Rattus norvegicus: one gene and its partner. The protein of the gene in region 1 purifies or fractionates together with the protein of each later gene. This does not show direct contact. Links are inferred from orthologs where the notes say so. Each region holds a gene or a part of one and is shown on either strand. Other genes may lie near its edges.

The links. Proteins that work in one complex are often made in the same cells at the same time.
Region 2: the proteins of Asb2 (region 1) and Rnf7 purify together in Homo sapiens (affinity purification with western blotting; 3 studies listed by BioGRID and IntAct, with this or other methods). This does not show direct contact. The link is inferred for Rattus norvegicus from reciprocal best matches to the Homo sapiens genes ASB2 and RNF7.

Annotation. Positions count from the first base shown.
Region 1 is NC_086024.1:128,255,151-128,258,650, forward strand, and holds part of Asb2 (ankyrin repeat and SOCS box protein 2), read right to left. Parts: intron 2,971-3,500; coding exon 2,866-2,970; intron 2,475-2,865; exon of another isoform or gene 1,726-2,474; intron 787-1,725; coding exon 620-786; intron 1-619. UniProt on the Homo sapiens protein: Substrate-recognition component of a SCF-like ECS (Elongin-Cullin-SOCS-box protein) E3 ubiquitin-protein ligase complex which mediates the ubiquitination and subsequent proteasomal degradation of target proteins.
Region 2 is NC_086026.1:105,924,606-105,928,794, reverse strand, and holds the start of Rnf7 (RING-box protein 2), read left to right. Parts: upstream 1-1,389; 5' UTR 1,390-1,432; coding exon 1,433-1,607; intron 1,608-4,189. UniProt on the Homo sapiens protein: Catalytic component of multiple cullin-5-RING E3 ubiquitin-protein ligase complexes (ECS complexes), which mediate the ubiquitination and subsequent proteasomal degradation of target proteins.

The sequences.
Region 1 (3,500 bases):
ATGGAACTAGATGCCACTTCCTCTGGGAAGCCTTCTGAGGTTGAGCTCCTAGCCCTCAAGTGTCTATTTTTCCTTTGCCCCCTTAGTCACTGTTAGAATGGTCACATCTCATGGAACTTTTTCTCTGGTGTGGTTGGTGGGAGTTGGGGCCATTCGATGGCCGGAGTGACCTGCCTGGTGGTATTATGAATCCTAATCTGACCTAATAGAGAGATGGACTTGGGAAACGAGGCAGAGCTCGCCCAGGGTCCCACAGTTGGTGGGAACAGCCTTGGCAGCGCACAGGCACAGTTGTGCCTGAGCCTTTCCACACCAAATCAGCCCCTGGAACATTCTGGGACAAACTGGCAGTGGCTGTCCCAGAACTTAGCTCTTCCCTTGTTCTTTTCTAGGAATTGGGTTTTCCTGACTGACAGGCATGGAGAGACAGCAGCAAGGGGCAGGAGCGGGAACAGAGAGAGGGCTGTCCACCCCACCCCACCCCTACCCCCAGCCCCAACTCTTCACTCCACCCCACCCACACTCGCCGCAACACAGTGACTTTAACTGTGTCTGTGGAGGCCATTACATAGCCTGCCCTCCCCACCAAGAGAGAGCCCTGTGCCCTGCTGGCCCTCACCTCGTTGCAGGACTTTCAGGCAGCCCAGCTTGCCATAGTAGGCAGCCTCGTGAAGCGGCAGCCAGCCCTCCTTGTTGGGCTCTGCAAGATTCTTCCCATCCTGGATCATGGCCTTCAAGGCTTCTTCATCCCCTTCCTTGATGGCCTTCAGCACGGGGTCCATAGCCCTGTGAGAGCAAGCGGCAGCCAGTTCTCAGCTGTAGGCAGAGGCAAGGACAGGTGGCCTGGGTCCTGAGGGCAAACAGGACCTACTGGAGGGCAGGAGCCAGTGTCTGCTCTGGGGTCTCTCCTCGAGTGTTCAGCTTGTTCTGGGCCTAATGCTTGTACTCCAGATCATTGGATGCAAGCGAATTAGTGTGAGAATCTGGCAGCCCCCACGCCTTTCTGGAGCTGAAGCTAATGTCACACCCAAAACTGCTTCTGCCAGGAAGACTCGGGCACAGAGTGCTAACACTGGCTAACTACAGAGGAATCTTCCCAAAAGATGGCCCTCTGATTCATACCATGCACAGCTAGCTGAATGATTGCAAGAGCTCCCGAAGGCAAGGACCTGCCAAGGTCCCTCCCTCCCTCCCTATTCCCCCAGCCTTCCTGCCACCCCATCTCCCCATCGAATCCATTATTCCTACTCCCAGCTGCTGCAAAATGACAATAGTTGAAGGATTAATAAATTAGAATCCTTCACAGTTTAAAACTTCTAAATGTCAAAAGATTTCAAGGCCACAGTGGGGGTCATCTTTGTTTGGCTTACTGAAGACAATTTTTTCTCACTTATCCATTTATTTCCTTGTCTGTCTGTTCTCCGAGACCTCTTTCCCTTTGTCACCTGCTACCGAGTCAGTAGGGACCATGACTATCTAGGATCTTAGGATCAGGAGCTAGGATGGGTTTAGGGGGACCTCTAGGACCAGCCCCCAAACCCTCTCAGCTGCTTCCTCTAGCATGCAACACTTCCTCCTGCCTCTCAGCCTCTGGGTTATTAATAGCAGCTACGGGTGAAGCCAGAGACCCAACAAGGACAAGCGACTGACCAGCTAGATCCTGAAGGCCCATCAACACCATCATAGCCACCCGCTTGAGATTCACTCAGGAGCAACAGGACCAACCTCCATCAGTCTCAGGGAGGGTCCCATGGGGTATGTGGCCACGGCTGAAGTGGAGGGGAATGGGCTGGCTGGTCCTGTGGCCTCGGTGAGGAGAGGTTCCCACGATGTAATACTTGATGTCCAGGCCCACCAGCCAGATGGGTCTCCCCAGCTGGGGTTCACACATCCTGGGACTCTCAGTGTCTCATACACACTAAGAGCCTCCCCAGGAGCTGAGACAAAGTCCCCACCTCAAAGAGGGAGAGGCTGCTAGGCATGTTAAACCACCAAAGACTAGAAGCAAGGTGCACAGGGCCTTGGGAGACAGCTTTGTCTTCCCCAACCCTGCCTTGCAGAAAAGGGAGACTGGCGGTGGGGGAGGAGCGGGGGAGTGGGGTGTCCTGTGACAGACATGCAGGGATAGGCAGTTGTACCCAGATTAGAACTGGAACTTTCTTTTTTTGTCAACCCCAAAGTCCCAAGGACAATGTGGTGCCCATAGGGCTTGGAGAGGCTGAGAATGAGAACTGTATCCTCCTCTCTGCCACACAGAAATGGGGTACCAGCAAAGGGCCCCCTTTTTCCCTTTTAAGTGCTTTTAAGGCCACTCTGAGCCAGAGCAAGGAGGGAGGCACAAATATCCCATCGGCACCATACCCGAGGCAGAACCCTCTCCCTTGGCCCCGGTTAATCGATTAGTTCTGGGCTTTGGCACCTGGCCCTTAAATGAAGGGTCCTGGGTGGAGACTTAGATGTGCACAGATGAACCCCTGGAGGTGGTATGGGGAGACACAAGGAGGATGAATGGGAGTGAAAGTCAACTACACACACACACACACACACACACACACACACACACACACACACACACCAGTCCTTTGAACCTCTCCCTCTTGCTGGAACCCCAGATTCAGAGTCCCATGGAACTCCTCCAGCAGCAGGGTCCCAACCTCTGAAAACATCTGAGGTCAGTCCCAAGCACAGCCTGAATGCCACTCCTAGTGGGCATCAGGCTGCAGCCCCCACGCCTAGCTCAGTAGGAGCACTAGAATCTAGACGCAGCAGGAAGGGGATCTAGGGCTGCAAAGCTAACCCCCCCCCTGCGGCCTCAGCTGGAGGTGTGAGCTGGGTGGTCTTGGGGCCAGGTGGGGAGTCACTTACGCCATCTGGGAGGTCTTGAACAGGTTGCTGCTATACTTCTGCATGACCCCTTGGAACAGGCCCAGGGGTGCTCGGGCCGGTGGGCTCTCGGGAGGAGAGGAGGACCTGGAAGGTGCAGAGCCAGAGTGAAACAGAGCAAAGTACTCTGCATAGGAGAAGCGGGTCATGCTGGAGCCGGTGAGGAGGATGGAGGGCAAGCCGGGAGAAAGAGTCTAAGTGACAGACAGACACAGGGCTCTGAACCAAAGCAGATGGCCGGGTCCTCTCTGTGTGCTGGACACAGCTGCTGTGTCTCTGGATTATTTTTGGCCCTTGGAGGAAGCCCTTGGAGATTTAAATGACCATATAAGACAACAATGAGGTTAACCTTACCCCCGCCCCCACCGCCCCCCTCCCCAGCCAACCACAAGGGCGCAGATATGAAGCAAGGTGACAATTCTTCACCAGGGAGGATGTGAGAAGCAGTTGGTCGGTCGGTGGCAGGCGTCAGGATGGAAGGCCCTGGGGGGATCTCAGTGGGGCTGGAGAAGGGATTCCTGGACAAGCAGGGGAACAGGAGAGCCAGCCTGAGAAGCCAAGACATTTGGACCCTCCACCTTGCTGCCTTCACTAAGGGGACTGTGCACCCCACAATC
Region 2 (4,189 bases), on another chromosome or scaffold:
CTATGTTCTGCCAGAAATGACCATTTCAAGGTTACTCTGTCATCTGAGTTTGATGTGAATTGTGGTCTTTGTGGGTTTTGCTTTAAAAACACTGTACTTTGAGACTCTGAGGCATGAGCCGGAACTTGGTCATGCACTAATAAAGGGACTTATGTATTTTTTGTTTGGCTGGTTTTGGTTTTGGTTTTGAAGACAAGGCTTCTCTGTGTAGCTTTGGTTGCCTGAAACGTGACAAAGATCCACCTGCCGCTGTCTCCCAAGTGCTGGGAGTAAGGTGTACACCACCATGGCCCCACTGCCTCACATACTTCTAATTGGCTTAACTGGAGTCGTCGTGTAAATCTTTCTTCAGTGGGAATTTTAGCAGCAGGAGTGGCTGCAAGAGGGTTTCCACCACCTTTCCCAGGTGATAAAAACAACCTGAAGAATGGCGGTTGACGAGAGTTGAGCCTTCGCAGATCCTAAAAGCCAGGCCTAGGTTGGTGCACACCTTGAATCAGAGCACTCCAGAAGCAGAGGCAGGCAGACCTCTGTGATCCAAAGCCAGCCTAGTCTACATAATGAGTTCTAAGCCAGTTGGGGCTACACAGTGAGAACCCGTCTCAGAACCACAACCAGAAGCAGAGTGTGGTGGCGCATACCTTTAATCTCGCCACTGGGGAGGCACGGGCATGGGGTAGGCCAGGCTGAGACCAGAGCTAATTTCAGAACAGCCAAGGTTCCACAAGGAAATCCTGCCTCAAAAAACCAAACCAAAAACAAAACAAAACGAAAAATAACAACAAAAAAGGTTAAGGTCCTAATACATTTTAAGCTTAAAGAAACCCAAGATGTAATGTCTGGAGAGACCGCTCAGTGGTTAAGAGAACAGTCTGTTTTTCTCAAAGATCAGGGTTCAGTTCCCAGCACCCACATAACAGATTACAACTGTCTGTAATTCCAGTTCCAAGGAATCTGACACCTCACAGCAATGCACATAAAATAAAGTTAAAATATTAAAAAAAAAAATCTCTGAATTCAAGGCCAACCATTTTGTACCAAGCAGCCATTTTGTAAGATACAGAGGTTACAGTAAAGAGATTTCTGTCCCTACTCAGATAGTGCACATTTGGGAAAAAAAGAGACAAATGGAGGCAGGGACAAGGTGATTTTTTGAAAGCTCCGAGTTTAATACAATAGGACTCCAGACTGCTCGCTCACTGTTCCTTGCCTGTCATGCAGTAACTGGCCTGTGTCCACTACAAGAGCTTGTACAGGCCTCGCCCAGCCCCTCATGACGTCACTGTCCCGCGCCAGCCAATCAGCCTCGCCTGGCTCCGGCTGAGCGACTGTTCCTTGAGGAGGGTCTGTGGCTTGTGTTGTGACCCTGCTGAGCCACCATACCTCCCCGCCTCCGCGCCCAACGTCCGCGTAGCCGTTCTGCGCCGCCGCCATGGCCGACGTGGAGGACGGCGAGGAACCCTGCGTCCTTTCCTCGCATTCTGGGAGCGCAGGCTCCAAGTCGGGAGGCGACAAGATGTTCTCCCTCAAGAAGTGGAACGCGGTAGCCATGTGGAGCTGGGACGTTGAGTGCGATACCTGCGCCATCTGCAGGGTCCAGGTGATGGGTAAGCGATGCACGCGAAGTCGGGACCGCTGGGCGGGCCTGGCCGGCGAATGCTGGACCGGGCCTCCAGACACCGGATAGTTCCTGCAGGAAGTGGGCGTGACCGGGTTCCGGGAGAGGAACCTCGGGGTTTTCCTGGGCAGCCTAGCGGCCAGCAAATCCCACAGCGGATCCCTCTCGTGGATCTGAGGGTTGGGATGTTTAATGTTTTTGAGATGCTCTCACGTTCCTCAGGCTGGATTAGAGCTTGCCTATTTATCCGAGGTTGACTTTGAACCCTTGAGGCTCCTGCCTGCACCTCCCAAATTCTGGAAATTGCGAGCCTACGCCACTATCTGGATTCTGTCATAACCGAAATGATGCTCAGTCTGTTTGCTTCCGGATGCATTCGGTGGTGCTACTTGGCTGGCTTTTAAATTTTATTTTGACAAGACGGATCAGAACTTTCCTGTGTTGAAGCGAGGGCCAAGGTTTGCTTGATTCAGAAACTTCATCTTGCACCCTTCCCATCCTAAGACACCATTTCGTAGAGAAAACACTACCCTGCTATTTTGTGCCTTTTCGAAGAACTTCCTTTCATAGTCGTCTGTTTTAGTATTTTGAACGAAAATATCAGACCAAAATGAAACGTATCAAGACAATCTAGTTGAGTTTTGCACAGTTAAGAGCTCAGTCCACCTTGAAAAGAACCCTGTCTCTGTCTTTTTTTTCCAGACAGGGTTTATTTGTGTAGCCCTGGCTATTCTGGAACTCTGTAGACCAGGCTGGGATGCACCTGCCTTTGTCTCCTTAGTGCTGGGTTTAAAAGTGTGTGCCACCATTGCCAGACTCTTCCTCTTTTTTAGAAAGGGTCTATCTTGTGTAGCCAGGGTGTCTCCTGATGCGTCCTCCTCCCAAGTGCTACAATTTACAGAAATGAACCAGCAGGCCTAAGGCATGCTGGGGTTTGAGCTTCATCTCGGTACACTACCAACTGAGCTGCATAACCAGCCTGTCTTCCAGTGTGTTGGTTGTACCTGTAATAACAACACTCTGAAGACTGAAGCTGGAGGGACAGCAGTGCATTTGAGGTCAGGCTCGAACAAAACCAAAGCCAGGGAGGGACTGGAGAGATGTTTCCACAGTTAGGAGCACCACAACCACAGTTTGATGTTCCACACCCACCTGGCAGCTCATCACCCTCTAACTCCTGTTCCAATAACTCCAGCACCCCGTTATGACCCTTGAGGGCATTAGGCACATTTGGTATGCAAACACAGATGCAGGTAGCATAAACGTAATTTTAGATTACTGTGAGAATGCTTTACAAGGTGATGGGGGTGTTGATTGAAATAGATTTCTGTAGTTTGCAAATGTGCAATCAAGAGATTCTGAAGTCTTTGTACTCGCTTTTCAGGAAGTTTTCAACACGGTTCCAAACTTTACTTGTTTACTGTGTAAACACTAGTTTCTAAATATCCGATTTGACTAAAACACTAAAATACAGCTGTTCCACCCTTCTCCCTTGCTTAGGAACTGGGCCATAATTTCCATTTCAGAGTTGAGTGTGGTGACTCATGTCTGAAATACCGGCAAATACCGGCACTCAGGAGGCTGAGGCAGGGGCATTACTTTTGTTCTTTTTCAACACAAGCTTTGCTTAGAAATTTTATTCCTACCAGGTGTAATGGTATCTTTCATCTCAGCACTCAGGCAAAGATAAGCAGATCTCTGTGTTAGAGGCCAGCCTGGTCGACACAGCTGAGGCTAAGTAGGGGGACCCTATCTTACAAACAAATAAATAATGAATAAACCTTAAATATCTTTAATTTAAAAAGAGAGACTTTTTTAAAAAAAGAAGAAGAAGAAGAAAGATTTATTATCTATAAGTACACAGTAGCTGTCTTCAGACACACCAAAAGAGCGCATCAGATCCCATTACAGATGGTTGTGAGCCACCATGTGGTTGCTGAGAATTGAACTCCGGACCTCTGGAAGAACAGTCAGTGCTCTTGATCATTGAGCTATCTCTCCAGCCCAAGAGAGACTTTCTTTTAGCTCTTTCTTAGTTTAGGATGAATCTTTCCAAAGGGAAGTTTTAGTATATGTGCTGCCGAAGCGAGCACCCAAAGGGAAGTTTTAAAAGGATTTTTTTCCTTGGAAGGGCTATTTTTTCCACAAATCTAAATAGTAAGAGATGTAGATCCTAAAGTAACCAATGAAATGTTACAGCACAGACAGGTGCTTAACGTAGGCCCAAGTTTGGGTTATAGATAACTCCTGGTCATGTTCGTGGGCTGTGAGAGCTTAGTGCCACTCAGTGGTCAGGTGACCACAGGGAATTAAATTAAGACTTGGTAGTCCTGATCCCTGGCATTGTTTGAAAGGTTATTGTTGTATGCTGTAGAAATACTGTCTCAGATTAGGAACATCATTCACAGAACTATTTCTTTGATCAAAGTGTGGCAAATCTCTAACTTGAGACAGAGGCAAGAGCATCTCAGCATGTTAATTCAAGAGCAGCCTTGTCTGTAGAAAATCCAGGCCAGGCAAGATAAAACAAAAGGGGGAAAAAGACTTAAAAAGAGACTTAGAAACATTTTA